Notamacropus eugenii: one gene and its partners. The protein of the gene in region 1 binds, or shares a complex with, the protein of each later gene. Links are inferred from orthologs where the notes say so. Each region holds a gene or a part of one and is shown in the gene's direction. Other genes may lie near its edges.

Region 1 (7,688 bases):
GCTGTGATGCTGCCTCTGAGATGAGGCTGTATATAGTTTTGTGGGCTTTTTGTATAAAGTGTGCTCCTTTTAAATTGATTCATAATAAACTCTTGGGCAAAAAAACCTGCAGTTATTGTTGGGTATTTTCTGTGCCTGTTGGAAGCATTGGGAGGGAGTGCAGAATTTAAACCCCTTAAGACCACCCTGGCTGTTACGTGGGCTGTCCTAGAGGAAGTAGTTCTTACATCTGAGTTACCTTTGTTCCTTTTTTATTCATCTGGATGACTTCAGATGCTTCCCTCCATTGTGATAACCATGGATTCAGTTCCCTGCTTTTCCCTATTAGTTTTTTATAGCTTTATCCTTGACTCTTTTAAGTCAGAAGTTCTTCTAAGCCTTCATTTTCTTTTTCTCCTATTTTCTCAAATTTGCTTATTCTTTAGCAGTTAACCAAAATAAATGAGAATGCTGAATATTCCTTAACTTAAAAAGTCATTATCTTATTCATTGTATTTGGGAGTTTTTAGTTTTCTCATGGAGAAAAAAAATTAGTCATAGCTCAACTTCATATATTGTCCACCTGCTACTTCTATAACACAATCCTGGATAATGGAATTCGGTGTATGTTGTCTTTAATTTCTTCTGCATGGGGAAGGAGTAATCATCAAGAAAATCTTCAATCATCATGTGAAAAACCTCGAAAGTTCATGCTTTGCCCTCAAGGTTCAGTTATTATCTGCTCAATCCATTTCATTATCTGATCTAAATTATTCTCTAGTTCTCCTGGTACATTGCTAGGCAGCCAGTGTACTACTTCATGGTTGTGGGAGGCCATGGCTTCTTCATAAAGAATTTGGAAAATTTTACTAAATATTGTCCTGTTATTTCTTTTTTTAAAATTTTCAGTTTACAACATTCAGTTCCACAAGCTTTTGAGTTTTAAATTTTCTCCCCTATCCTTGCCTCCTCCCTTCCTAAGACAGCATGCAGTGTGATATAGGCTCTCATATACATGCATGTTAAATATGTTTTCACATTAGTCATGTTTTAAAGAAGAATTCTAACCAGCAGAATGAACCATGAGAAAGAAGAAGCAAAACAAAAAAGAGAGCAAACAGCATGCTTTGATCTGCGTTCAGACTCTATAGTTCTTTCTCTGGATGTGGATGGCATTCTCTGTCCTGAGCCTTTTGGGGTTGTCTTGGAACCTTGCTGAGAAGAGCTGTCTGTCGAAGTTAGTCACTGCACAATGTGGCTGGAACTGTGCATTATATTCTGGTTCTGCCCCCCTCGTCATCCGTTCATATGAGTCCAGGTGTTTCTGAAGTCTGCCTGCTCAGCATTTCTTACAACACAATAGTATTCCATTACATTTATATGCCGCAACTTGTCCTGTAGTTTCTTTACACTGTATCCCCTCTTTTCAAGTCTTGTATAAAATACAGAATTATCTGTTTGAAGCACAAAAACTATTATGAAACCATGATTGAGGGAAGAAGTCACAGCCATGGTAATCAATAACTCCACCTTCTTTCATTTTGTTTTCTAACTCAACTACTCTGTCTTCATCCAAAGTGGGACATACATATTTTTCATCAAAGCCATTATATAACTGTCCTTGTGCTAAATTGCCCATATGAACGAACAAAGGGATAGTGAGGAGAGAAAAGGAGGAATTCAAACAGTGTGAATGGAGACCACTGAGGAGACCTGATTGAATGGGATGTTAAAGAAAGTCTCAGGAATAGCTTTTGTGAAGAAAAGAAAGCTCTTTGTGCTGTAGTTGAAGTACCTTTATTTTTAAAGGGCAGACTCAAATAATTCCTATCACTCTGGTGGCTCTTGATAACATTACAATAGGGGAAGTTTATCTTTGACAATCTCCTCTTTACTTTTCTTCTCAGATACCCAATACCCTTGAAGCCCTTCCGCTCACCTTTGCAGTGTTTCCTAGGTGATGTTTCATATCCATTCCTCTTTTAACTCTCATTTACCATTTTTACCTCTCACCAGTGGCTTGTTCTCATCTGTTAGGGAGGAAAACTAAATGGTAGAATCAGGATATTTGAATTTGAAGAGACTTTTAGACTATAGAACATACAAAGTCAGAGCTGGAAAAAACTTAAAAGGTAAAGTGCTTTGACCAGGCTTGCTTCCTAATAAGTTCCAGAACTAGTATATAGGAGCCCAAGTTTTCTCTTCCATTTCTTGACTCATCATTTTCAACAACTGTTTAAGACCCTATTATCTGCATAGCCCTGTAAGGCTCTGGAAGAGATCTTTGAAGTCATCTAATGTAATCTAATTATAGATGAGGAAACTGAAGGTCCCAGATCACATAGAGGGTTAGTTGTAGTGCTGAGAGTAGATGCCAAGTCTCATTTCTAGACCAGTACTTAGCAATAGTTACTGACCTAACTCTAGAACTAGCTGTTAGGTTAGAGTTGATATAAAATGAGAATTGGGCTTGCTGATCCCTAAAGTCCCTTTTAGCTAACAGTCTTTTATTTTAAGTTGTATTTATTACCATTAGATCGTAAACTCTAGGACAAGGCCTTGTCTTAATTATCTTTTTATCTCCATCCATAACCTGACAAACTATGCAAAGGATAGCTGCTTAACAAATAATTGTTAATTGAATTAGCAAGTTAATGAAGTAGGATGAATGAAAAAGTGTTGGGGAGACCAATGAGGCATTCATTATCTGCTTTCTAGGAGCTCATATTCTAAAGGAGGAGATGACATATAGGGAAGGTTGTAGGTAATTGTCCTTTGTTTTTGAGGAGGACCAAAATGACCTCACTGTGTTGAGGTCAAGGTACAGTGTGTCTGACAGTGACTGATCAGACCAATTTGAGCTCGGAAGGCTCAACCACAGATCTGGCACAAATGGTGCATTTGAACATTTGGAATGGAGATGTCTCTGGATTTATGCATCTCATGTTTTCTTTATGCTACTGAGATTCTGCTTTTCTTATAGAGAGACAGTGCCTTCTTTGATGCAGGCACTTCATGCTAGGCAGTCCTGTACCTGTATCTCTTCTTTCTCACAATTGATACCAAAGTTTAGATCAAAGGCCCAAGGTCCCCCAGTGCATCCTGGGTCATCTCCAGTCATCCTGATGAATATCTGTCACTGGATTCAGATGGCTCTGGAGGAGAAGTGAGGCTGGTGACCTGCACAGCCCTCCCTCATTCAAAACAAAGTCAAGTGCAAGTCATGTCATCATTTCTCTGATGGCATGGTCATCTTTGGCAACAAAGGACAAACAAACAAAAACCAAAGTTTTTCAGAGGGACCTTGAGAGTGTCCTTGTTCCTCCTGACCTCCATGTAAGAGCTTGCTTTATGTGAGTTCTCCATAAAATAGTCTCTTAAGAAAAAGACCTATTTGTACAAAAATATTTATAGCAGCTCTCTTAGTGGTGGCTAAGACCTGGAAATCAAAGGGATGGATGCCCATCAATTGGGGAATGGCTTAACAAGCTGTGGTATGTGATTGTAGTGGAATATTATTGTGCTATAAGAAAGGACAAGCAGGATAATTTTAGAGAAACCTAAATGAAGTGATGCACAGCAAAGTGAAGTAAAGAATCAGGAGCCGGTGATACCCGATAACAGCAACGCTGTGCCATGAAGAATTGTGAACGATTCAGCCATTCTCAGCAATACAGGGATCCAAGACAATTCCGAAGAGTGAAACAGTGTCCACCTCCAGAGAAGGAACTGATAGTGATTGAATACAGACTTGAGCAGGCTATTTTTTCACTTTCATTTTTTTCCTTTTATTTGAGTCTTCTTGTACAAAATGATTAATATGGATATGTTTTACATAATTGCATATATATGACCTTAATCTGAGTGCTTACTGTTTCAGGGAATGGGGAGGAGAAAGGAGGAGGGATAGAATTTGTAAAAAAAAAAAAAAAAAGTCAAAACTTTAAAATTTTTTTAAAAATAGAAAAAATAGTCCTTTAGGTCAACGTCCTTTTGGCATTTGAACAGGCCAGACCACTGGCAGCTCCACAAGGGTGGCTTCCTGGGGGGCCGGGCTGGGTAGAGTGGGGGGCAGGCTGTCAATCCTGAGGCGCACTGGGGTCTTGGGCGGTGCTCGGACTTGCTCTGAGCATGGCCCCGGCTTCGGGCGGGCTGGTTTTGTCCTCCGTTCGTGGCAGACGGCGGGCACGTCCGGCCCCTCTCCCACAGCGTGGCGGTTGTGGAAGCTGGCCGCAGGAAGCTGCCAAGGCCCTCCGGGTGTCTGAGCTGCACACGTGGGGGGGTGACCACCCTGGGCAGCCGGACCTGGCGTCAGAGCGACTCCGGCTCTGGTTCGTTTTCCCGCTGCGTGACCCTGGGCCAGTCGCTCAGCTTCGCTGGACTCAGTTTCCCCAGCCTCCCGGAGCTGCCTGTGTGTACAATGACAGGCATGTCGCAAACTAAAGCGCTACGTAAGTGCCGGTTCGTGATGATGATTAGAACTGATGGTCACTAGTTACATGATTCTGGGCCAGTCCTCACCTATCTGAGCTTCAGTTTATAAGTCGTAAAGGGCGCACAATAACATCGGCGCTTGTTGAGTGCGTTTCATAAACAGCGGAGTGCTTCATTCATTCGAGCTGTTCTAACTAGTGTGCCGGGGAAAACTATAGGGACGGAACATGAAGAACACGGGCCTCGTAAGCCGGGAGGCGGAGCCGGAAGTTCACCCAGCCGGAAGTTCCCCTAGCCGGACCGTTTTTGCCAAGGGCTCATTTCCGGCCGCGGGCGCGGGAACTGGAGTTTTCGTCGGTTTGTAGGCCCGGCGGAGGCGAATCCGACGCGAACCGGGGCCATCTCAGCCGCCACCATGGTGAGGGAGGGCCGGGCAGCCATCTGGGGTGGTCCTGGGAATGGCCCCGAGTGGGGGGCGCAGCCAGTCGACCGCCGAGTCAGGGGGCTGGGGCCCAGGTTTGGGGAGGAGGGCGCGGGAGGCCGGGATTCTGAGGGGGGGGAGGGGAGAGAACGCGAGGCCCGGATTGGGAGGGGGGAGGGGAGGGCTTGCGAAGCTGGGGTTCTGAGGAGGGGGAGGGTAGAGAACGCGAGGCCCGGATTGGGAGGGGGAGAGGAGGGCTTGGGAAGCTGGGGTTCTGAGGAGGGGGAGGGGAGAGAGCACGAGGCCCGGATTGGGAGGGGGGAGGGGAGAGCATTCGAGGCTGGGGTTCTGAGGAGGGGGTTCAGAAGGAAGGCCGGGTTCGGGGCGGGGTGTGTGATTGTGTGTCACGGTTCTGAGTGCCATTCATAGTTGGCACTGAGAGCGGAGTGGTGGCAGGGCCAGGATGGGGACCTTGGGAAAGATGGCTGGGGGAGTGCTGGGAGACGGAGGGATTAAGGTGGGAGGTCCTGGAACCTGGGAAAGGTTAAAGGTGGGGAGGTTTTTAGGACTCACTGGGAGGTGGGCTGGAGGACTAGATGGGGTCTGGAGGGGGATGGGTTGGAAGAGGAATTAGAGCCAAGGGGGCCTGAGGGTTAAGAATGGGGAGTGTAAGGGGTGGGGTTTGTCAGAATTAAACCTTTTTACCATTTACTGCATCTCTGTCGTTTTACACCCGAGAAAAATCCTGGCCCCCAATTTTGGACCTACTGTCCCTTAGCTTCTAGGCCTCACTAACTCAACCTTAAGGTCAAATACAGCGAGTGAGACCTGATTCAGAATAGGAGCCCAGATCTTCTGACTCTAAATCAGTTCTTTTCCCGTAACACTATTTGAATCCTACTTTCCCAGTGTAATTACATTCTGTTATATCCATCTTATCCTCTCTCATGCATTTAAAATAATATTTGTTGAGTGGGCACTATATACCAATTAGTGTGCTGAATGTTGCTAACGTATCCCTCAGGTAGCCGAGATATTGGGTTTGTCAGTCAGATGATTTGGGTTTCAGTTCTAGTTCCATCACCAACTTACTGTGTTATCTTGGACAAGTCTCTTAACCTATTCAACTGAGCCTCAGTTTCCTTTTCTGTAAAATGGAGGTAGATATCTTTGCACTGGTTACGTCTTTATACTCTTGGGAAGGTCAGATGAGATAACTGGATTATGTATGAAAACAACACAAGCATCCAGTCCTCTATTTTTGGTCTGGAGGGAAGGAGAATGAAGAAATCCATTGTTAAAAAATGGAGGTGATAGAAGGCTGTTTCAGGAATCAGAATGTTGTCTGGGGGAATCTTAGAACAAAGAATGCAAGAACTATAAAGAACATTATAGCTAATTTCATGTAAACCACTTTACTGAGCAGGAATCTGAGGTTTGGAGTGGGGAAGTGATTTATCCAAGGTCAGGTCTAGAACCTAGGTCCCCTGACTCCAACCTTGTTTGCTTCCCTTTATGCTAGTCTTCCTCTGGGAGTGTAACTGAGAGAGAAGTAGAGTCAAGGAGGCATTCCGATTTTAGTATCTTAGCCACTTTTTTCTTGCTTCCCACAGACGGTGGGCAAGAGCAGCAAGATGCTGCAGCACATCGACTACAGGATGAGGTGCATCCTGCAGGATGGTCGCATTTTCATCGGCACCTTCAAGGCCTTTGACAAGCACATGAACCTGATCCTGTGTGACTGTGATGAGTTCAGGAAAATCAAGTGAGGAGGAGCCCTGGTGGGAGGGGAGCAACCCAGTTCACCCAGCAGAATATTGTGGGGAGGGACCCAAGTAGCAGGTGGTATAGTTTAGCTGTCCCCTGTCTGGCTGTGGCCTAGATGTGTTTCTTGTGTCTGTGTGGTTGTGTCCTTTTTTTGAAGAAAATCCAGCTGAGTTTCCCCAGTGCCCTCTGAATGCTGCCTTCCCCAGGAGTTCAGTTGTGCTTGGAACCCCTTGGCTTGAGAGCTGTGTTTCTGTTTTTCTTTGTTTGCCCCCTTGGGGTAAAGGGCTCTCGTGTTCTCCCCACAGGTTTTTAAGGGGGAGAACTTGCTTTTCTGTCCTCATTGCCTCTCTGTAAGGCTGCAGCCTAAACGGCATTCCCACCCAATACAGCCTGCTCTGAAGCAGCTTTCAGGAGCCCCTGACTCTCTTCAGGGTAAGTGCCTGGCTTCACCACTTGGGTTAGTGTTTGGGGCTAGTGATTTAGAATAAGAGTTGGAAGAGACTTTCAGCATCATTTACTGCGACCCCTTATTTTATAGAAGAGAAAACTGCAATCCAACAGTGCTAAGTGACTCGCCCAAAATCTTAGAGTAGTAGCAGAGCAGATATTCAAACCCCAATTCTGTGACTCCTGCATCCAATGTTTTTCCCATTATACCAGGCTCCCTTCTGATTTGTCATCTGCAAAAAAAGAAGTAGTGAGAGACAATGGCTAAATGCTGCCCCTTGTGTTTTCAAGTTATTCACTATGCCAGTTTTTCAGTAAGAATCTTGTGTCTTAAAGCTAGAAGGACTTCAAGATGATCTGGTTTAGGTACTGCCTACCCTAAGACAGCTAAGTTATTTCCATTATACAGATCAGGCAACCCAGAGAGGATAAATGCCTTACCTATGGCCATTAGTTTGTTAAATGGTAGTGGTTGGGTGGGAATGACTAGAACCCAGGTCTCTTGCTTCCAAGAGTAGAGCTCCCATTTTCCTTCCTTCATTCAACCTATTAATGACCTTTTGTTTCTTTTAGGTCTGTGTTTTTTTGTGTGTGTCTGGCTTGAGTGGAGAGAATCTAGGATGAGGACTTAGGTCCAGAG
Region 2 (7,098 bases), on another chromosome or scaffold:
CAACACAGGGAGAGGGGAGTGGGAAAACACATTTACTTTCCTCTACATCCAACATTAAATAACAAAATAAGGCAGACTCTTAGCCCCAAAGAGCCTCCCTATGCTGTTTTCTTTTCAAAAAGAGAAAAGTACACCTCAAGCTGGTGCTACAAACCACAAATAAATATTCAATGGAGAGAAAGAAAGGAACCAGGTCATGGAGGCAACGAAAAAACCCTCCAGTGCTCAGTATGTGTAGGGGGGAAAGGGGTGTACGTACACACACACACACACACACACACACACACACACACACACACACACACACACACACACACACGCATGCAGAACACAGGTAGTCAGGCCTGCTCTTTAAATCCTAAACTCACTGACTATCCATCAAGGTGGCCAGTGGCCACTGCTCCCATCTCTCTATCTACCCCAATATAAATCTCAGTGGAATAGGGCAGAAAAGTGGCATGGAGGGAAAGGATGAGCAAAATCTCTAATCTCCTGAGCCATGAGAAAGAAAAACAGGACCAGTCACGTCAAGGCCAAGTCCAGCATTTCACTTCCTGATTTGGGGGAGAAAGCTGGTACAGCATCTAGGGAAGCTGGCTTAGTACCTCAGTGCTGCACAGCAGAGGCTGGGGCTCAGACATACCCACACTACTGACGGTCCCCAGAGCTCCTTAGATGGGAGAGGACTACAGGAGCAGCCATCATGGCTGATCATTGCTTAGCCACCATCCCGAGAGCTGGGAGGACTCCCATCTCCTGCTAGAACAAAATGTAGCTAATAAATAGGATTCCAAAATAGCACCAAATAAATTAGAAAGGAGGGTGGGAGGGAGTGGGGGGACAGCTTCTAGAGATCACTCCACCCTATGGTAAGGCCAAGGAACTGTGACAGGAACCAGAGAGAGGAAGGAAAGGGATAGACAGAGCTCTCTGAATCTAAAAGATCCCAAGATCTAGTCACAAGAGTTCGGAAAGGATCTAATCTCAACCCTTCCATTCTTGCCTACAATTCCTCCCATAGCCCCATAGTCCCTGATATGACAAGGCCAGGTCAGGGGGATGGGATGAGATAGTGGATCCTCAACTTTCACCCCATCAGACAGCTTCTCCTTTACTGCTTCTCTTTTCCCAACAGTTTTGGGGGTATCAGAGTTTAAAGATTTCATCTTCCTGGTCCCGTAAGGTGGCTGCCCTTGTGGTTCGAGTCAGGGGTACAGGGCCCAATACTGCCCGTTGCTGCTTTCGAGGGGAAGCCAAATGGGGATGCACATCCTCCCCAGGTACACTGCAGGTAAAGACAAAGGGAAAAGTGATCAGGAAAGGAGGCAAGGAAAGAACAAATTCTTATGAAGCACATGTGCCAGGAAATGTGCCAAACATGGTACAGATTTCTCATTTGAAGGGGTAGGGGTTAGGGTGGGGGTGTGTGAACTAAATAGAGAGAGGGATTGTAGCAAGCTGCCCAGGTAATGCTGCCAAGTCTGCCCAAGGCTCAACTTGCCTTGCCCCTGGAAGGACAGAGCAGTAAGAGGAACGTGAAATCATAAGCCCCCGTCCACCATAGATGTATTCTGGCAGGGGCTAGCTCACGTTGCAACTGGAATTCAAATTTTGAGCTGGAAGGGGCCTTTGAGCACATCTAACCCAAGTCTTTGATTTTTCAAGAGAAAGAGTGTGGAGTCCTGCAGTGTTTTGGGACCAAGGCCTGACTTCCCATCTCCTGATGCCCAATTCTGTGCTCTTTCTGCTAGATCAAAGGCTTCTGGTGCAGGTCAGAGGGGCTGTTCAGAAATGCCCAAGACTTACCCACTCTCGCTTTTCTTCAGCTTCCTGACGGCAGCCTTCTTTGACAAACTGATCTGTGAGTCGATCTTCTTGAGGAAGTCAGTGGCAGAGAGGTCATGGCTGGGTCTAGGGAGGTCCTGACCACATCTGGAGGAAAGGCCTTCACCATTGGCTTTTTCCTCTTGTTTTTTCCTCAAAGCTGAGGGGGCTTCAGCTCCACCTTGACTCAATGGCATCTCTTTCTCTTTGTCTTCTTCCTCCTCAGAATCTAGCCCATTGAATAATCCCCGGGGTTCCATCAGGATAGGAATATAGAGAGTTTTCTTGAGGAAGATGGAGTCATTAGTATAAAGACGGTTAACACGCTTAATCTGTTCCATCTTGGGGGGAAAAAAGGTAGGGACACCAGATTAATAACAGCAATAGTAATGCAGCTCCCAATTTTATAATACTTCACATTTTAAAATCCATTTCTTTATTTGGTGTTAACAACCATCCTGAGCAATAGGGAGGGCAGTATCATCCTTGTTTTATAGATGAATATACTGAGGCCTACTTAGGAGATCATGACTTGCCTAAGAACACTGAAAAAATGAGTGACAAACTTAAACTCAGGAGTCCTTACTAATAAATCAGGAACCCTGAAATATGCACTATTAATGTTTACATGAATTTGTCAGCATTTTTGGATAATATATCTTGGTTAAACTGAGGCATAACACATTGGGAAGACAGCATTCAGAATCAAAGTCTCTAAGAATGTTCGTGTTAGGAGGGACCCATTCAGTCCAGCTACTGAAGCCTGAGATGTAACCAAGATATTTCTATCCTAGCACAAAACTATCCTAATGAACTTGAATAACAGATCGCTGGAGTCAGGGAGACCTGACTTGAATTCTGCCTCAGTCACTTATCAGACATGGGACCCTGAGGAAGTCACATTATCACTCTGGGTCTCTGATCCTCATCTGTAAAATGAGGTTAACACAGCACCTAATTCACAAAGTTGTTGTGAGAATCAAAAGGGATAAGAGAGTTCTAAGAGTTTTAAAATGCTCTAGAAATGCTATTATTATTAAAACCAGAGAACTCTGAATAACACCAAAGTTAATAATATCTTGAATTGGGAGGGCATACAAGCTGTCATTTTGTTTTTAGATTTTATAAAGATTTCACAACGATATGATACAGTTGTCTCCCCATAGGGGGAGGGAAAGGAACATCCCTGTTTGACTAAGGTCCAGAGGTTAGAGTCTGGACAGACTGATCATTAGCCAAGGCTCCGTATGCTCTCCTGGACCGTGGATACTTCTGGGGTGTGTGTGTTTTGTGATCCCCAGATGATTAGCTCCAAGCCAAAATCTGGTGGTAAACGCCCACACACTCCAGCTGTCGCCAGCCGGTCGGACAACCGGGTGCACCTCCCCACACCCCGGGGGGGGTCTTCGGGCCTCCTCCTCAGACACTGGAGGGCAGGGGACCAGAGACTGCAAAAAGGGGTGAAAGTGGGGAAGCAGGAAAACCTGGGTTCAAATCGGGCCTTGGCGGTTACTAGCGGGGAGACCCCGGCCAAAATCACTTCATGTGCCCCAGCCTCAGTTTCCTTATCTGTAAAGTGAGGATCACAATAGTCCCGGTCTAACACAGTTCAAGCTCTGAACACCACTGGCCACAGCCCCGGGATCCAGGGGAAGCCGCGAGAGTAGTCCACGTAAGCCCTCCCGGAAGGTGCCCCCGCCGTGCCCTCCGCCCACTCACCGTCACCCCGTACTTGAGCGCCAGGCCGGCCAGGGTATCCCCGGGCTCCAGCAGGTGCTCCACGCGCCGCTCGCGCACCGGAGAGCAGGCCGACTGTACCAGGCTGCCGTAAGACCGGGCCCGGCTCCCTCGCAGGAGTCCCGAGCCTCCCGGGGACGCCTGACGGGAGGGGGACGCCATGGCCTCGCCGGCCCAGCCCAGGTCCTGACCTCCGACCCTAACGCCCTCTGACCCCTGACCTTCGAGGAGCCTTTCTCAGCCCAGATCCCGGGGGCCTGCCTTCGCCATAGGCCGCCTACTCCCGCTTCGGGCTGCGGATCTCCCGTCCCGGTCAAGCCCGAATGCAGGGCCCCGCCCCTCCCGTCCAAGGCCCAGGCGCCGAGATCTACAGCAGCCGGTTCTGTCGCTGCCCGCAGCCGAGGAGTGAGAAGCTGCTGGGGGCCTAGAGGAGTCCTGGCGAGCACGGCTGGGCCAGCTCCCCACCCCGCCCCGGGTGGAAGCTCACGCCACTCATGCAGGATCCGGAACCAGGAGACAGCCCCGAACCCTCCAGTTTAAGGGGCCTTACAGACCCCCCCAGGGCTCTGGAGATACTGAGAAAGACTTGAATTCCCAGAGAGCCGCGGGGCTCCAAGGCATCCTGGGAAGTGTAGTCCTTCCGCGAGGCCAATCAGAAGGAGCTGCGGGGCAGGATGCTCTCGCATTCCCGGAAGCATACGCCACGGAAGTAAGAAATCAACCAACCAAAAAATATAACTCTCCGCTCCGCCCCCGTCGAAGCTACGGTCACTGTGAAGGCGTTGAAGAATAGGTGGTGGAGTCGCTATATTTTGTGGTGGAGGGCTGTGATAGAAACCATGTCCTTCAAGAGGGAAGGGGACGACTGGAGCCAGCTCAATGTGCTCAAGGTGAGGAGAGGGGGGGGGGGGTAGTTGTCGCCCCTGAGATGAGGCTCACGCGTTGCCTCGGCAACCCCCCAAGGGGCGGGGCCATACAGGGTGGGGTGGGGGAGGGGAAGGAGGAAGGGATCGGAGGGGAGGAGGGGGGTCTCCAGCGTTCAGTTCGGCGCTCTCTGACTTCTCCGCCGTGCCCTCAGTAAAATTCTGGTTCAGAAACCTCATTTATGTTTCAAGGTCCATTGGGCCTGGTTGCTTCCCCTCCCCCCAGATCCCCCAGCCCCGCAGATAGAGGGGCGAACTCCAAACTTGTCCATTGGAGGAGGAGAAGGGCCATCGCATAGACATCTCATTTCCCACCAGCTTGCTCTCATGTGGGGCTTCTTCCATACGCCCCCCCCCCCCCACTTCTCAGCTTTTTTGTGTGTTTTCCTCCCCCATTATTAGATTGTAGACTCCTTGAGAACAAGCACGGGTTTTTCCATCTTTGTGTACCCAGCGCTTAGCGCAGCGCCTGGCCCGTATATGTATTCATATATATATATATTGATTATGGATCAATATTTGGGAGCGGGTCACAGACGAGCTGCTGGAATCAAATGTAGAAACAGCCAGAGCACTGTCGCCCTGCCCCGGGACCCTCCATCCCAGGGTTGAGGTAGAACCCTTTCTCTTCCTCTTCCACCACCCTTGGCAGTGGTAAGGAGTTGGGATGTCAGAAGACTTGGAGGCTCGGCTGAGACAGGACATGGACCACAGGTTCCCTGGAGATAAGCCTTACCCTCCTTGCCTCATTGTGGCTTACAGGAAACCTAAGCATGGCCCACTGAGAGTGGTGACCACTCTGAGGTGGGATCTCAAAACCTTCACTGGAAAAATAAAGTCATCAATAGACTGGTCCCATCCAACTTCTTTCCCAGGAGGCCTTCCCCCTCAGTTTCTTCCCTTCACACCCACTATCTTATCATCAGCACCAGAATTCCTGGTTACAGCACTGGACCACACTTTGCCTTCTCCTTTTCTAGAAGCGGAGAGTTGGGGACTTGCTGGCCAGTTATATCCCAGAAGACGAGGCACTGATGCTTCGAGATGGACGGTGAGGTCTAGGAGACATCAAACTTGAAGAGACAAACAAGGGGATGATGAGAAGAAAATGTCAATTCTTGATTCAGCCTTGGATTCCAGGAGAGGGAGAGAGAGAGTGGTGGGTGATGGGGGGAGATTGGAAGAGGTGTGCACTGGCAAAAGGGTAGGAAGACCTGGGAAGGGAGCAGGAAAGAATAGCCTTGAGGTGACCAAAAGCAAGGGTTCCCGAGGCTATTGCAACTCTTTCACCCATCTTTCCCCTCAAGATTTGCCTGTGCTGTCTGTCCCCACCGGCCTGTATTGGACACACTGACCATGTTGACTGCTCACCGTGCAGGGAAGAGACACCTGGCCAGTAAGTTAAAGGGTTAAAAGCAGGACATTAACTTGACAAAGCCTTCCCGAGCCATGCTGAGTATCTCTTCCCCACCAGGCCTGCAAGATTTCTATGGTAAGAAGCATCAGTGGAAAGGAGAACAGAATCCAAAACAGCAGGAAGAAAGGAGAACTGAGAAGATAGGGGACCAGGTAAGTGAGAAAGGGAGGTTTCTCCTAGGTAGAACTCTCATCCTGGGAGCTGTGAAGTATCTTGTTCCCCCTAGGTCTGAGAGCATTTGTTGACCTCTGCTTTGCATTAGGCTCCTCTGCTGGCCCAGACCCGTCTGATCACCCAAAGTGCCCTACGAAGAGCCCCAAATTATAACAGTTGCTGTCGGCGGCAGAGAAACAGGTAATTTTGGATAGAAGAGAGGTGAAACAAGAAGATGGAGGTAGGAAAGTGGCGGCAGTTTTTAGAGAAGAACAAGGAAATTAGAGGAAGAGGAAGATGGATGAGAAAAAGGTAGAATAAAACCTGGGGCATTTGTTACCAAACTGTAAAACTCAGTGAAGACATCTGTCTTCCAGCACCTAGGACAGTGGATGCATGATAACTGTTAAAGGAATGCTTTCAGTAATAAAAAAGATGTGAAGACAAAGGATTGGCAAAGGGTTGAGAAGATGGGAAGGAGAAATCCCATAGGTTCCCACATAGGGAACTGAGTTACATTTTCAAGAATAAGAACCATTCTCCAAATGATAAATGGTCAAACTATATGATCTCATAGTAGTAATTCATAATAGACTTTGGGTATGAATGCTCAGAAAGATTACTAGGAGTTGCTTCTGAGATGGGAGGAACAGAAGTAGATAACTCTGATGTATTAGGGACAAAAGATGACTGGATTCCTCCCCAACACTGTAAACTTTTTAAAATTCAATTTTATTTTATTTTATTTTTCAGTTCCAATTTCTCTCTGTATTACACTTCCCTAGCTGTTAAGAAGTCAAGAAAAATAAAATCCGTTACATATGTATATAGTGATACAAAACAAATTTCTACATTAGTCATATCCAAGAGAGAGAGAGAAAATAAAATAAAATATGGCTCAGTCTGCAGTCTGAGGCCATTATCTCTCTCCATCTGGAAAGGGATAGAATATTTCATCATGAATCTTTTGGAATTGTGTTTTGTCATATTGATTAGAGTCATTGCTGATTATCCTTACAATATTACAGTTATTATATAAATTGT
Region 3 (7,825 bases), on another chromosome or scaffold:
GTTATGTCAGATTGCTTTATAGTGGGGTGTCCCCAAATTCATCCATAGTCATCATGTTCCAGAAGATTCAGATAATTGGCAAGGTTACACATTTGAATTATCTAAGTGAAAATTTGGGATATCTACCCCAAATATTCACATGGACTATCTGTGCCCAACCTGTGGTAGAGCATGCCGAGCTCATATTGGTCTAATTAGCCACAGTCAGACACACTGAAATTTCACTTTATCATGGTGATGTCATTTTGGTCCTCTTTGAAGGTGAAGGACAACAACCAACCAACCAAGTGAAGATCTCATCCCTAGGAATTATAGAAAGGAAATTGGACAAAATCTTCAGAAATGATCTGAATTTCTCCCGAGATGGACACAGCATTTTCTAGGTGGGTTTAGGGAGAAGGGAGAAAAATTACCCATCATCTTAAAAGAGATGTTTTCCCTCAAGCAAGGGAAGATTCACAATTCTCTCTGGCCTCTCCAATATAGGCTTTCCCTAGTCTCTCCAATAGAGTTGCATAAATTCTTGAGAAGCAGAAAAAAGCTGGACTTTGTTTCTCAGTGTCTTGTGCCCCTTTTCAGCTCCTGGGGTCCAAAAGGAGATGGGAGGAGTAAGCTGGTCTCAGAGTCAAGAGCTGATCCCTGCACTTCCAGCTTCTCTTTCAGAAAGCCTGGGAAAAACAAAAGCCAAGGATCTAAGTTCAACTGGAAAGTCAGAGATAGCACCTGCTTGGATCTCTCATTTCCAGCAGCTCAGACAACATGAGTATTGTAAATATGAGAGAAAGCAATCAAAGCCCTCCCCATTCTGCTTCCTTTGTAGGGCATGAGAACACACTTTGGTTCGAAGGACGCATGACAAAAACCCAGCAGGCAAAGTCCCCATCCAGGCAAACCTGTACCTGACCAAGAAGTCCCTCACCTACCATTTCTCCTAATTAGTGGGTCAGATGATGGTTGGCAAGGAGGCACCTTCTACCTCCCAAAACAACCCAGTCCTATTTAGGCTAACTCATTGCAAGCCAAGTATGGGTTTGGTTTAGGGAAAAGTTTTCTGCTTGCAGCACCCGTGTATGGCCCCTAATTCTACCCTCTAGAGCAGCTTAGAGCAAATCTAATTGATCTTTCCATGACAGGCCTTCAAACACTAGAAGGAGACTCTTCTGCCTTCTTCAAGCGTTCATTTGGCTTGTGGTCCTATCCCCCATCGAAGAGCTTACTCACTTCTGGATACTCTGAATGCCATGCAAACTTTAAAGAGAGATAGCATTGCTCAGCACTTGGTCCACAGTCCGTTTTCCTAAGCACCCTATAATTGTCACATGAACTGTCTCCCCCTCCAGCCTGCTGAAGACTTAGCAGTTTGTGTTCAGGATATGGGCCTTGTCTCTGACAGAGGATAGAAAACTTCACAAAGTGAGACCCCATTCAAACCAAAGCAGCAGATTAGAGTTCAGGGCTGGGCTGACAGAGGGCAGAAGCCTAGAGCCTCCAAAGCTTGAACATCAGTCTTAAGATGCTATATTTCCTTTCTCATTTTAGCACTGGAGAAAGTGAAGGACCTAAGCCCAGGTGATCCAGATGTCTAACCCACCTCTCACACCACCTGTGGGGTCATGGACAAGGCCCTTAATAACTGTATGGAGTAGGTACCATAGGTATCCTACCTACTTTACAGTTAAGGAAAATGAGATTCAAACCCTCACCATCCAAGTCTTGAATTTCATGTTACCTAAACCCTGAAAAAATCCAGGTAGACTGCAGAACCCAAGACTTCCTTGCCCAACACTCCTGGATGGCAAGTCAAGACTGGGACTAAACAGCTGGTTTTGAGCTGACCCTGTAAAGACTGGAGAGCATGCAAGGGAGGGACAATTATAAAGTACCCATGGACCACATCATTTGGGTAGAAAGGAAACCCTACAACACAACTTGGGACATGGAAGAGTGAACATCAGCCACCAACCAGACACTTCCCAAATGGAAGTTAGCTCTGTTTCCTTATACCCAACCCTTGGGCAGAATGAAATTGTGATTACTTCCCCAATGATGTTCACTGGAACCCTCAAGTCTTTGCCTAGCTTGGGGATACTCAGAAACCTGGCATAATGAACAAACAGACTGATATGTTCATACAAAGGTTGATTGTGGCTTCTAGTCTGCCATCTCTCCAAAGGTTAGAGATGAAGGGGTCCTTCCAGAACGTTCTAATTCAACACTCACTTCCAGAGGGGGAAATGAAAACCCAAAGAGAAGAGTAAGGTGCTCCAGTTAATAGAGGATAGAGCAGAGACCAGAACCAGCACCTCTGTACAAGTGTGTACTGCCTTTCCATGATAAGAGCAACAACTCTTGTTAAATTGTCTATGAAGTGATTGACAAATGTTTTGTTCCAATAGTGAACCTAACTGATTCTGAACTCTCCCTGAACTCTGCCCAGAACTGAAGGCTACTCTAGAATCTGAAACATCATCTAAGCCGTAAGTGCTGATAATATTTACTATAAATATTAGACTTTAATAAGGGCCAAAGCTCGAATTAAGAAGAGTCTGGACCTAATAGTCTCCCTTGTTATCTTAAGTAAACTCAGAGAATGTCTTTTTGTCAGAGAAACAAATAGGGCTGACTTAGTAATTTCCTTAGGAGACCCTTTTCCTGGCATCTTAGTGATAAGGAAAAACACAGATTCCTGGGTTATAATTTCAACTTTGTCTACTCTGTTAAGATACCCTTTCTTGTGTCAGCAACTTCAAGGACCTGTTTAGGACAGGAGGTCTGCCATCAGAGTGATGAGATTTTCTCCTTATCTTATGTCAGAGACACATATGAAAATAGGAAATTCACATAGCTTGGGATCATACAACTCAATTGATACTACTTTGTTAATTATCTTACTAAATTTACAATTTGTCCAACTAAGAGAGTTCCTTTCTCACAGTAACTCACGGTAAAATATATATATGCCAGAAGATTTCTATACCAAGTGGTCAGAATATTTTTCTGACTCCATAATGCATTGTCGCTGTTTTCTTTAAAGGGAATTAATTAATTAAATCGTGAAATGTACGCATTTAGCCTGTTGCCTTTTCTTTAACCAGGTTTTCAGGTCAGCAGTGCATAGCAATGCCCCGACCAGCTATTTAGACAAGGAAGTAAGACCAGGAACAGACGCTGTCTGGCACGTTAGACTCCTGGAGGCTCTGCAGCAGGGAGCTGTCCAGCTTCCAGACCATTGTGATGAAGTCTGTATCTTAGCAGACGGTTCTTCTTCAAGAGCAGCCCAGCTGTGCGGGGTGGTAAACAGGCAGTGACTTGGGCAGGGAGCCCCGACCGAAATGGATGACTGCGTTGATCTCGGGGATAGGGAAGAAGCAATGGTCACCTTTCCAGGGGTAAAAGGAACCAACTCGTCTGCAGAATGGAGCCATTAAAGCAGTAAATATCCTTCAGGGAAGGGGGAACAAAAGTCAGAAATGTCTAGACAGGGGGCAAGCCCGAGTGGGCATTCTCACCCAGCAGAATCCAAAGCTTTTCCCAGAAAATAAGAAAGTTGGACGTTAGGCGGAGGGAGGGGAGGGGCGCTGGGAGGGAGGTCAGAGGGTAGAGTTGCACCCCAGCTTTTCTTTACATTTGTCTGCTTCGCATCCAAAGGGAACGCGCCGTCCTTCGGCCCAGCCTGACCCATGGCTCCGGGCAACAGGGCTGGGCCAGGGGCCCCTTAACCTCCTCGGGGCACGGCCACGCTCCGGGCTGTGACATCATAGGGGAGGGCTCCTGGTTGTTATTCAGGGGACACTCTCCCCCCCACCAGCCTACGGGGTATTGGGGGCGCAGACCCTCCCCCGCTGGTCCAGCGTGGGGGAGACACAGGCCCCCGAGGGCGCTGGGTTTGCGGTGGGTCCGAATCCCGCCCTCGAATTTCCCCTCCCCCCACCCCAATGCCTGGAAACCACCGAGAGGCGTGGCGTGCCCGCAGCTCTAGTAGCCACCTGGATCGTCCACCTAGGGGGGAGGAGGGAAGGGCGAGAGAGAGAGGCGAGAAGAGGGCGAGGCGTTCTCCCACAACCCGGCCCCCATCATCCCCACCACCAGAGCAGCAAGGGGAGGGGGACCCTGCCTTGCAGGAATCCTGCGCATGCGCAGCGACTCCAGCGTGGGTGGGTGGAGGTGGAGAAAGAAAACTACAAGCCCCGGCAGGCTGCGCGTATGACAACACCGTGCCATCCTTCTCCGGTGCCTTTCTTTGCCCAGACTGCTTTGTCGAAAATGGGCTAGACTGTTCTCCCTAGTGCACCGTCCCCCGCTCGTGGCCCACCCTCTGAAACACACATCAAGGAAGGGCATCAAGTTCTCCCGGGTGGTCCCGGTTCAAGCATATGCAAGACGAGGATTGAGCGACTACAAGGCCCAGCAGCCACCGCGCGCTAACAAACGGAGGAGGCTGAACAAACAGCAGACGCCAAGTGCAAGCAGCCCCACGGGTGCAGGGGAGGGTAACTACAAAGCCCGGCATCCACCGCGCACATACCGCCTCTGCAGGTGGGGCCGACTACAAGGCCCAGAAGACATAGTGAGCAAACCCTGGCAGCAGGAGGGGCGAACTACAAGACCCAGCAGGCCTCGCGCACAATCTGCAACTGCAGGCATGGAGGACTACAAGACCCAGAAGGTGACAAGTGCAAACAGCCCCACCGGTGACTGACTACAAGGTCCGGCAGCCACCGCGCACAAACAGACGCTACTGGTGAGGCAGACTACAAGACCCAGCGTGCCCCGCGAGCCAGCAGGAAGAGGAAGGACTGCATAAAGGACCCGGCAGGCTGAGCGCTAGGTCAGTCCTGAAGCTGCGGGTGGCGCGATGGCGCACGGGGATAGTGAGGCGGGGGCCGCCAGCTCCGCGGCCCCTGGGCCTCCGGGCCCGGTCTCTTTCGGCTTCAGCCGCACGGCCAGCCGGAGACGGTTGGCCGAAGGCCGCGAGGGGCAGCCGGAGGAGGAAAAGGACTTCTTGCGGGCCGTGGAAGGGCGGGAGCTGCGCAGTGTGCGGCCGCCCGAGGAGGCGCCGCGGGAGCTGGTGATCCCCCTACTGCGGCGGGGCCACGGCCGGACAGCGGCCCCGGGCCAGGCCGTGCTCCCTGAGGACGGCGTGCTCCGCCAGGCCGTGGAGGAGCTGATCGAGGAGTCAAAGCGGGCCGAGCAGCTGGGCCCGGGCGCCGAGGCCGCCGACCGCTCCATGGCCATCCCGCTCCTGGCCCGGGTTGGAGACGCGGCCGAGGCTCCCGAGTCGGTGGGCGCAGACTACGAGGCGGTGCCCGTGGAGGCCTACGGGCTGGCCATGCTCCGGGGCATGGGCTGGAAGCCGGGGGAGGGCATCGGGCGCACCTTCAAGCAGGTGGTGAAGCCCCGGGAAAACCCCCTGCGCCCCAAGGGGCTGGGGCTGGGGGCCAGCCTGGTCCTGCCCTCGGGCCCCCCAGGGCCCAGCCAGCCCGGGAGCCCCAAGGACGACGAGGAGCTGGTGGGCCTGGCCCCTGGGAGGGCCGTGGTGGTGCTGTCTGGGCCCCACCGAGGCCTCTACGGACAAGTGCAGGGGTTGGACCCCGACAACGCCCGGGCCGTGGTGAAGCTGGCCCCCGCTGGCCACGTGGCCACCCTGAGCGAGCACGTCCTGAGGCCGGTCTCCCGGCAGGAGTATGACAGGCAGACCTTGCGGGGGGCCAGGGACCCCAAGACGGGCCACGGAGGGGCCCCCGAAAAGAAGGGGCTGAAAAGGAAGCAGCCCCCCACGGAGGAGCGGGCCCCCCACTGGCTGCGCAGAGACCTCCGAGTGCGCTTCGTGGACAAAGGGCACTACAAGGGCCGCTACTACAACACCAAGATGATCATCGAAGACGTCCTGAGCCCGGACACGTGTGTGTGCAGGACAGATGAGGGCCGGCTCCTCGAGGGGCTGCGAGAAGATATGTTGGAGACCCTCATCCCCAAGGAGGAGAAGGCCAGGGTCATGGTGGTGCTGGGGCCCCACCGGGGCCAGGTGGGCCGGCTACTGGGCAGAGACAAGGATAAGAGCCGGGCTCTGGTGCAGCTGCTGCAGGAGGGGGAGGGCACTGTCCTGCAACTGGACTACGACGCTGTTTGTCACTACGTTGGGCCTGTGGCAGAGGACTGAAGGGCTCCCATCCATCAGAGGGACCCAGTATCTGCATTTTCCTGGGGTGACTGAGGATTGTAATGTGGCCCAAGACTGGGCAGAGGGGTGTCTGTGGGTCTGTCTCATTGTGCCTTCAGGCCATCTTGGCAGAGCCCCTAGTTAGTGCCCATCATCATGCTTTGGCCCTTTGGGGCAGGGGCCAAGGAGACAAGGGGAAATTACAGGGGCCTGCCTGCCTTCCTTTGGTTGGTTAGTGTTTCTTGTCTAAATAAAAATAAGTTTTCCAAAAAAAATTTTTAATCACTGAGCATTCAGACAGTTCACGGAGGAATAATCACAGTATCTCAATGAAATATTGAGGGGGAAAAATCAGTGCCAAAAAGCTCTTCATTTTTAGGACTTAAGTCATTGAATCCCTGGCCGGTATTCTGGGCCTGGAAATGTTGGTAGTAACGGTCCTTTCAAAATGCACCAAGGATAGCTGTTGGAGAATCCACTGTGTAGGTCTATGAACTGGGCTTACAGGGGTCTGGCTCATATTCCAATGGCATTGTGGGAAATGAGTGGAGGTGCTAATGTTTGAGGTTAATACAAAGTGTCCTTACACCTTCATTCTTACTCAGTGTGTAATACCCCCCACAGAGAGACTGCTATCCTAGGCAGTTCATTACTCTCACTCTCACCTAGTCCTCTACCTATGTTCCTACTGAACTGGATTGACTATCCTCTCATATTCCGCACAGGTAATTCTTGGAACAGTTAAAGCCCACCACCCCTCCCCTACATTGCCAGTACATATGGACCTCAATCCCTACAGTCTCAACTGGATCCATTCATTTTAACCTTGTATGGACATGACCTTGATACCTCTTAGTTCCCATTCCATGGTATCTTTTGTCATAGACATTACTGCCTCTTTGAATTTCCAACCAGATAAATTAGCTCCCACCTGGGCTGTGGTTTCGTGGAGTTAGATGTGCTAGTTGGAAGCTCAATCAGAATAAATCAGAGCCTCCATTTAGGAAGGAATCAGTTGTGAAGACAATCTCCTCTGGAGGAAACTCAAGCGAAAGGTTATCTAAATTGCCACATGTTACCACGCTAGTTTTTTACCCAGTTCGTTCTAAGGGTGGTTTGAGAAAAGACGAGCAGAGAGAGGCATTATGTAGCCGAGAAGAATCCCAAAAGTAATGAGGCAGACACTAAGGGCCGTGTGACATTTGAACCCAATGCTGGGTGTGAGAGGAAGGGGAGAAGGCAGGAAGGGGAAGATGGTCCATCTCAGCTAAGTCATGAGGAGCAACAGGACCGTTGGAAAACTGCAGAGATTTGGAGGTTTGCTGTTGTAAATGATGGCCATTGTGACCTCTGCCATCTCACCTGGTACACACAGCACCTGGCACCTTATGTTTCCCCCATTTCCAGTGGGAATCCAAATTAACCACCTACTAACTGTTTCTTGACCTTCTTAGAAAAGAGAGGAGTGGTCTGTTAAGGGCCTTCCAGGCTCTAGCCCCAGGAAGCTGGCTTGCTGCATGAACTGTTGGCAATTTGCTAGCCTTTCCATGCCTATGAGCGTATTCCTATTGAAAAAAGAAAAGTTATTGGTCACAAAAATCCTTGTTGCACTGGCTTGTGGTGTTGACTCAGTGATGGTGGGCCTTTGCTTAGACAACAATCAAT
Region 4 (7,517 bases), about 120 Mb from region 1:
GCCCCACCCCCAGAGCAGAGTCCACGGCAATGTTCAACAAATGCTTATTAACTATAATGGTAAAATTACTTACAGAAGATAAATGATATTAATCCTCCCAAAAAGATTTTCTGTAAATTTTCTGATGAGAGTCTTAATACAGTAAATATCTTGTGATTCTGTTCTTCTGCAATGGACAAATTCTTCCCTGCCTCTTGGAGAAGTCAATGATGTCATTTTATGCCCTTTCACGAAAAGAGAAAACACTCCATTATAAATCTGAAATGATTAGCTGTCTCGCTTACAGTACTTATAATATTAAATACTAATTCGGTTTCCAAAATGACAAAGTGAATACAATATTTTCCACATAAGTCTAGCTGATTTTCCCTGGGGGTACATTGTATCAGCTGTCACCACAAACTACGAGACACATTTCTCGATCGGCTCATACAGTTTCTGAGAATTGGTCTGTCTAGAAAGCGCCACAACTGTATTCTTTGTTGCCAGTAAAACTTCTCCCAAATGTTATAGAGCAGTTGTTGAAAGGGACTGAAATGAAATATTTACTGGTTCAGTATATTTAATTTACCACAATTGTATGTATCCAAGTATTAGGAGGGAAATTCACTGCTGCTTCCAGTTTATAAAAAAGGAAAGAAAACCAGTGATTGATTTTGCCTTGGGATAACTTTGTTTAAACAATATTATGTCTATTTAGATTTACATTTAGATAAAAAAAATCATAGCTATTTCTGTCAAACCCAAAGTGAAAAAGTCTTTTAAAATGCTGATAGCAATAATGGTAACTTTTTATTTATCAATTATCTTTCTGAGATTATCCAATTTGTCTCTCCCGCTCTCTCTGTATATATGCATACACATATATATACACACATATAATATACATACATACATACACACACATATATGAATTTAGGAAAATGTTCTGAATTTGAGAACTGGAAGGGTCTTCAGAAGCCATTTAGTTCACTTTGTAGCTGAACAAAAATCCCTTGAACAACAAATCCAAAATGATTATTTTTGTTTCAAACCTCTACTTTCCAAGACAGTCTAATCCACTTCAGGATAGTTCTAATTGTTATAGCAGAAATTAAGATGAACTGAGGTGTGAAATTCTGAGCATAATCAAATAGCTAGATAGGCTAGCAGTAACCAATAAGTTGGAGCAATGGTCTCACTTGATGATCAAAAACCTTGAGTGAGGTTTGACAGGGTTTTTCATAACAATTCGCATGATGACAGGGTAAAATCTGGAGCAACATAGGTGTGGTCTTTTGACTGGGTATGGATGACATACATCATTTGAACCTCACCTTCTGAAAACCCCTTAACCACAGCCAAGATATGTGATTTGAGTCACTATGACAAAGGTTCTCAGGTAATGGTAACAGATCTTCCAAGGACAGGATAAGTGTGTAGGTGATAGGAGCTTCTTTAACAGTTTAAATTGACAAGATTTGAGCTTTTAGGTTGAGTTTCTCTGAAAAGTGGGTGATGGGTGAGTTTACAAGGGAAAGGAATCTCAAAGGGGAATATTAAATCTAGCTTGATCAATTCTTAGCAAAAATAGAATTAAAATCAATTTTCAATTTTGCCCAAAAGAAAATGCAGGATTCCAATTAATAATGTTAGCACTTATAAAGGCCCCTTAAGGTTTACAAAGCATTTTATAAATATTATCACACTTGATCCTCACAACAACCCTATAAGGTAGGTACTATTGCCATCTCCATTTTACAGATGAAGAAACTGAGGCAAACAGAGCTTAGGAGACTTGTCTAGGTTCACACAGCTAGTATGTGACTGAGGTCAAATTTAAATTCATATCTTATGGATCCAAGTCTTGAACTTGCCATCTAGCTGCCCAAATATGATGTGATTGGAGTCCATACTATAGTTATATCAATTCCCTTACTAGAAAGTTTTTCCTTACTTCAACCCCAAATTTGCCTCTCTGTAACTTCCTAGTTCTTGCTCTCTATGGCCTAGAGAATGATGAGTCTGATTCCAGTATTTGGAAGAGGGTCATCATCCCACTCCTTTGTCTTTTCTTTTCCAAGTGAAACATTCCAAGTCCTTTGATTAGCATATCATGATCTGGAAACCCTTTGGCATCCCATTCATCCACCTCTGTTCATTCTCTAGTTTACCAATGCCCTCCCTAAAAAGAGACATGAAGAAAAAAACATAAGAATCTAAATAAGTTACGGACAGAGTACAGCAGGGCTGACACCCTCCTTGTTCTGGACATTATACGTCTCCATATGACCTAAGATGGCATCATCTTTTTTTGGCTGCTGGTCACATTGAGCTCACACTCCACTAAAACATCAAGACCATCCCAAGACATACTACTGTTATCTAGCTATGTCCCCTCAGGAACATTTATTGTATTGGAGGCTTATTAATATTTACACAAACAAATGGATGGAATGGAAAGAATACTAACAACTAGGTGGATCAAGAAAGGCTTCCCCTTAGGAGGCAACACATCAAGGGAAACTTGAAGGTATCTAAGAACCCTCCAAGGGAGAAAATGCTTTCCTGGCAGAGGAGAGCCTATAAAGGCATGGAGGTGGAGATGGAGTTCCAGGAAAAGGAAAATCAAGAAAGTTAATTTGACTAGAATGTAGAGTGGATGAAGAGGAATAATAACATGTTTCACTATTAGATTCGATAGCTGTTATTCTACTATCTGATACTTTTCCATGATGAAAGATGAGGTTCAGAGTGACAGTCCAACACTCATCTCTGAAGTTATGCCCTACTTCCACCACTAGGGGGCATGTGAATGAAATGTCAGGCTCTTCATGGAAACCAGTAAATTGGAAACCTCTGTCCCCTAATTCCACCCTTTTCTTAGTTGGCAGTGCTTATGCCGCTGGTAATTCTTTACATATCTAAAATACAGTTTATCTATGCATAAAATGGGCACAACAAAGGTGCTTTTAATACTGGCTAAGTCAAATACATGTGTGTATGTGTGTGTGTGCGCGCATATGTATAGGCAAGTATTGGCTAACCAGAAAGGGTTAATAGATGAATGAAATACAAATTATCCCAATCCACCAATTTAAATTTAATCAATTTCAATTTCTTTTCCCAGTAACTTACACTATCAGTCAACCATGAAGCATTTATTAAGCACTTACTAAGAGGTGGCATAGTGCTAAGTGGCAACTAAGTATCCCAATGAATAGAGTGCTGCTCCTGGAGTCAGGAAGACTCGTCAGACACTAGCCATGTAACCCTGGGCAAGTCACAACCTTGTTTGCCTCAGTTTCCTCATCTGTTAAATAAGCTGGAGAAGGAAATGGAAAACCACCGCAGTAACTTTGTCAAGAAAAGCTCCCAAAAGGGGTCACAGAGTTGGACATGACTGAAAGACTGAAACAACAATTGTTGTAGAGCCCTGATGCCAAAAAATGAACTTCACTATAACCGCATTATACCATGTTTGTTGGAATATATTCCATCTGCCTCAACGACCAAAGGCATAGCTGTATACTTTTAATGGGGGAAAACTCTACTTTTAAAATAACTGATAAGGTTTTTAAAACTTTTAAAGTATTATTAGTTATTTTTCGGAACAACGGATAGAGTGCTGGACCTGGAGTCTGGAAAGCCTGAATTCAAATTCTGCCTCAGACACTTACCAGTGTAACTCTGGCAAGTCACTTAACTAACCTCCCTTGCCTCAGTTTCCTCAACTGTAAAATGTGGATAACAGCACCTGATTCACAGGATGGAGCAGCTGGAGGCAATTAGGAGGTATCAGACAATGGAGGGCTTGGGTGGGAAGCAAGGCGGGGCAATCTAGAGTTAACAGCCAATGGAAGGCCAGGCTAGGCCAAGGGCAACAGATTTGAGTAGGAAAGGCCAGGTTAAGTGGGAAGATTCAAGGAGGTTCCCAGAGTCTGAACCCCATCAGCTGTGAGGGCCAAATGAGGCAAATTTGTAAAGCGCTTAGCACAGTGCAGGAGGCGCTATATAAATGTTTATTCGTTTTCCTCTATTTTCCTAAATTCTCCGTGCTAGAACCCGGTACTCTCCTCCTTCTCAGGTCAAAACAGAAGCGGCTCTAAGAGACTGAGACTACAAGACCCAGGAAGCAACACGGCCAATCTCGAGATAACGTGTTTCCACAGTGGTGTTGCTTTGCCTTCTGGGAGTGGTAGTCTGTGCTTTTTCCCCTCCCCCGAAGTCTACCGGGCACTGTTCCATGTTTCAGCGCAAGGCGCCTTTGCTTGGAACACCTGTAAAGCTTCTCCCTGACGCCCAAATCCCTTGGCCCTAAGCCACTTAAAGCAAACCACAGTTAGAATACCCTGTGAACCCCTCCGCTACACACAGATGAACCCTTCTTAATTGGACTCACCCCAGCTACAGCACTCTCCGGGCTAACTCGGGAACAGACGCCGAAGGCCGGTTACTATAGAAACAGCGTCCCTCCCGTCACGCGACGGTAAGGGTGAAGGGTCACGCCTCGATAACGACAGTTCCGCTTCCGGTTCCGGCTTGGAGTTGTTGTCCGGGGCTTCTTGAACTGGCTGGAGACGCTTGGGGGCCGTTTCCTGGAGATTGAAGGATCGGAGAGGGCTCTGCAAGGCTCGCGGACCCACTCTCGAAAACATGGCAGCTTCTACCGCGGCCGGAAAGCAGCGGATCCCCAAAGTGGCCAAGGTAGGGGTGGGGCCGTGGGGCCGCCGAAGGGGGCGGGAAGAAGGAAGGGCTGTTGTCGGTGTCTCTTAGCCCCTGTGCCCGTGGGGAGAGGAAAAGCAAGCTCCCTGGGGGCGTGAGACCGTTTTTCCCGGGATCCGGGAAGGGAATGGGAAGAAAGCACGTATGACTGGGAATCCTCCGGAGGCAGCGTGCCCCCCGCGGCCCGGGGGCTCGACGATGTGGGCAGTCATTTTAGAGTCATACCGTGTCTGTAGGAAGCACCTGTTCATTGAGCCTCAGTGTATGTCGATATTAGCACATAATGTGTTCATCATGGCTTGTAAGCACAAAGAACTTTCTGACGAAAGAAGCTCCTAAAGCCCAGTGCTTGCGACCCCGCACTTAGGCAAGGACTGACTTACTGAGGCTTTACTGGTTTGCCATGTGTGTAAATCCCACCCAGTGGGTTCTTTGGCATCAGCAGCCCCACTTTTATCAAGTAATACTCTTCTGGGGGGAGTCAGCATATAAACATTGCGAAATACATGATGGCCTTTGGGCTCTAAAATCTATTTCCATTATACTCAATAGATACTTTCTCTGTAGTACGAAGTCTGTTTTCAACCCTTTAAAATCACAAATACAGTCACTTGAAGCAGCTTTTAGGTCTAAAACATTACAAGAGATGATTCAAACCCTTTTTCCATGTGTTTCTCTTGCCAACTGTGAAACTACACAGAACGTTTGCAACCAAACCAAAACGTTGTTCCCCATACTCATCTTCTTAACAAGAAAACCAGTTAGGTTCCATTTAAAGTGATCTTATTCTCCTCCCCCAAACTCAGTGTATAACTACCATCTTGGTGTTAAAAGTATTCAGTTGTAATTTCCTATTTAATCAGGCTTATCTTCCAAATATATTTGCTTCCAGCTTATAGTTTCCAAAGTGTGACGTATTGTTCTGTTATTTCATCCTCACAATGGAAGTAGTGTGGATATTATCTTCCCTTTACAGCTAAGGGAAATAGGGTCAGAGGTCCTGCTCAAGGTCACACAGTAAGTGGCAGAGGTGGTATGTGAACTCACATCTTCTGGTTCCTGTTTTAAATATGGCTTTAGACATAAGCGTATGTTTCAGACCATTTAATTCATTTATGACTTTAAGGGGAATAAGAAAAAGAATTCTGTAAACAAGGTTTCTTTATTAACATGACTAAAATATGATACATATTTTTAAAAGAAATTAAAACATCATATCAAAATTACATTCAAAGTATTTCCTCCAAGATCCAAATTTATTTTTATGCTAAGCCACAAGTATATACTGCTCTTCATTTTATTGCTAACTCTCCCTTAAGACAAAACTAAGCTACAAGCAGTAAAGCATTGTGTATAATTTCATAAAGAAGTCAAACATAATCTGCTGAATAGAGTATCTTGTAATATGGTCCAGAAATTTATGTATACATACGCACATATAACAGTTACAGATATAGTTGTTATTTGAAAGTTTGTAAAAGTGCAGATACCAAAGATAAATCTATTTCATTTTTAAGGTGAAAAACAAAGCCCCTGCTGAAGTACAGATCACAGCAGAACAGCTTTTGAGGGAAGCTAAAGAAAGAGAGCTTGAGCTTCTGCCACCACCTCCTCAACAGAAGATCACAGATGAAGAAGAATTAAATGATTATAAACTAAGGAAAAGAAAGGTAAGTAAAAAGTAGACTTCAGCCCTTTCAGGGGAGTGCTGTGAACCATAAAGCTGGTTGGCTGAGAGCTTGTTTAGAGAGGCTAACATGGATATTATTAATAGCTGACATATAAGATTTACAAACTGCTTGCCTCACAAAACTTCTGTGGAATGGGTAGTACAAGAGAAGGGAGAAGGGGACAAGCATTTATGAAGAGCCAGCTGTGTGCCAGGTTCTTTACCAAGCACTTTCCAAATATTATCTCATTTGATCTTCACAGCAACCCTGGGAAAGAGGTGCTCTTATTCTCCCCATTTTTCAGTTGTGAAAATTTAGAGATTAAGTGACTTACCCAGGGTTACATGGCTAGTAACTGTCCGAAGTGAAATTTGAATTCAGATCTTCCTGACTGTAGACCCAGCACTCAAAGCCCTGCGCTGCCTAGCTCCCATTTTACCAATTTTACCAATTATCCCCATTTTACTAATAAAGGAACTGAGGCTCTGCAACCTTAAGTGATTTAATCAAGACTGCATAGCTAAGACTGACCTTGATGTTTTCTGTCAGTAATGAATTCCTGTAGTCCATGGCCTCTTGGGACGTTCATTTTGTCACTATTAATTAATCATTAGCCAGTTAGATTTTGCCTAAAGAGGTAAAATCTTCTTTTTTCTTCTGTTTTTCAACCAGAATCAATCCACTGAAGGAATGACAGCATAATGATAATTTTTTAAAATGTTCAGGCTCTAAACAAGATTGGTAGCAGGGAGAAGACATCCCAATTAGAATGAAATACTCAACAAGAGGCTCTGCATATTTTGCCTCCTTTATATGCACCAGCAGTTTGTTTGGTCTGATTTTACTAAATGATAAAGTTTTATGTAATTTCTTCCTTATTTTGAATGTTTTTGCTAATGTTATTTTTATGATAATTTTTGAACAAATAATTACTAAACTGTATGCCAAGTTAAATCTGCTTAGATTACAATACATAAAGCATTAAGATTTTTAACACACTATTCATTATTGGATATATTCTGCTGTTTTTCTCCTTTGTCATCCCGATGGAATTTGGCATCATAAGGATATGTTCAAAGTACCTATCTCATTTCACAGATAGGTTCCTTCAAATTCAGGTTTTAGAATGTGATTTCTATGAAT

The links.
Region 2: SNRPB (region 1) and SCNM1 share a complex: the UniProt entries of both Homo sapiens proteins name them as parts of the minor spliceosome. The link is inferred for Notamacropus eugenii from reciprocal best matches to the Homo sapiens genes SNRPB and SCNM1.
Region 3: SNRPB (region 1) and GPKOW share a complex: the UniProt entries of both Homo sapiens proteins name them as parts of the minor spliceosome. The link is inferred for Notamacropus eugenii from reciprocal best matches to the Homo sapiens genes SNRPB and GPKOW.
Region 4: SNRPB (region 1) and CRNKL1 share a complex: the UniProt entries of both Homo sapiens proteins name them as parts of the minor spliceosome. The link is inferred for Notamacropus eugenii from reciprocal best matches to the Homo sapiens genes SNRPB and CRNKL1.

Annotation. Positions count from the first base shown.
Region 1 is NC_092872.1:476,069,037-476,076,724, forward strand, and holds the start of SNRPB (small nuclear ribonucleoprotein-associated proteins B and B'), read left to right. Parts: upstream 1-4,672; 5' UTR 4,673-4,828; coding exon 4,829-4,831; intron 4,832-6,447; coding exon 6,448-6,599; intron 6,600-7,688. UniProt on the Homo sapiens protein: Plays a role in pre-mRNA splicing as a core component of the spliceosomal U1, U2, U4 and U5 small nuclear ribonucleoproteins (snRNPs), the building blocks of the spliceosome.
Region 2 is NC_092873.1:305,006,667-305,013,764, forward strand, and holds the start of SCNM1 (sodium channel modifier 1), read left to right. Parts: upstream 1-4,096; 5' UTR 4,097-4,400; coding exon 4,401-4,451; intron 4,452-5,464; coding exon 5,465-5,535; intron 5,536-5,791; coding exon 5,792-5,880; intron 5,881-5,958; coding exon 5,959-6,053; intron 6,054-6,163; coding exon 6,164-6,255; intron 6,256-7,098. Other genes in the region: LYSMD1 (lysM and putative peptidoglycan-binding domain-containing protein 1), read right to left, coding at 1,147-1,285, 1,807-2,165, 3,544-3,723. UniProt on the Homo sapiens protein: As a component of the minor spliceosome, involved in the splicing of U12-type introns in pre-mRNAs. Plays a role in the regulation of primary cilia length and Hedgehog signaling.
Region 3 is NC_092876.1:17,503,478-17,511,302, forward strand, and holds the start of GPKOW (G-patch domain and KOW motifs-containing protein), read left to right. Parts: upstream 1-4,823; 5' UTR 4,824-4,855; coding exon 4,856-6,160; 3' UTR 6,161-7,825. UniProt on the Homo sapiens protein: RNA-binding protein involved in pre-mRNA splicing. As a component of the minor spliceosome, involved in the splicing of U12-type introns in pre-mRNAs.
Region 4 is NC_092872.1:595,317,735-595,325,251, reverse strand, and holds the start of CRNKL1 (crooked neck-like protein 1), read left to right. Parts: upstream 1-4,500; 5' UTR 4,501-4,635; coding exon 4,636-4,686; intron 4,687-6,221; coding exon 6,222-6,374; intron 6,375-7,517. Other genes in the region: CFAP61 (cilia- and flagella-associated protein 61), read right to left, coding at 74-216. UniProt on the Homo sapiens protein: Involved in pre-mRNA splicing process. As a component of the minor spliceosome, involved in the splicing of U12-type introns in pre-mRNAs.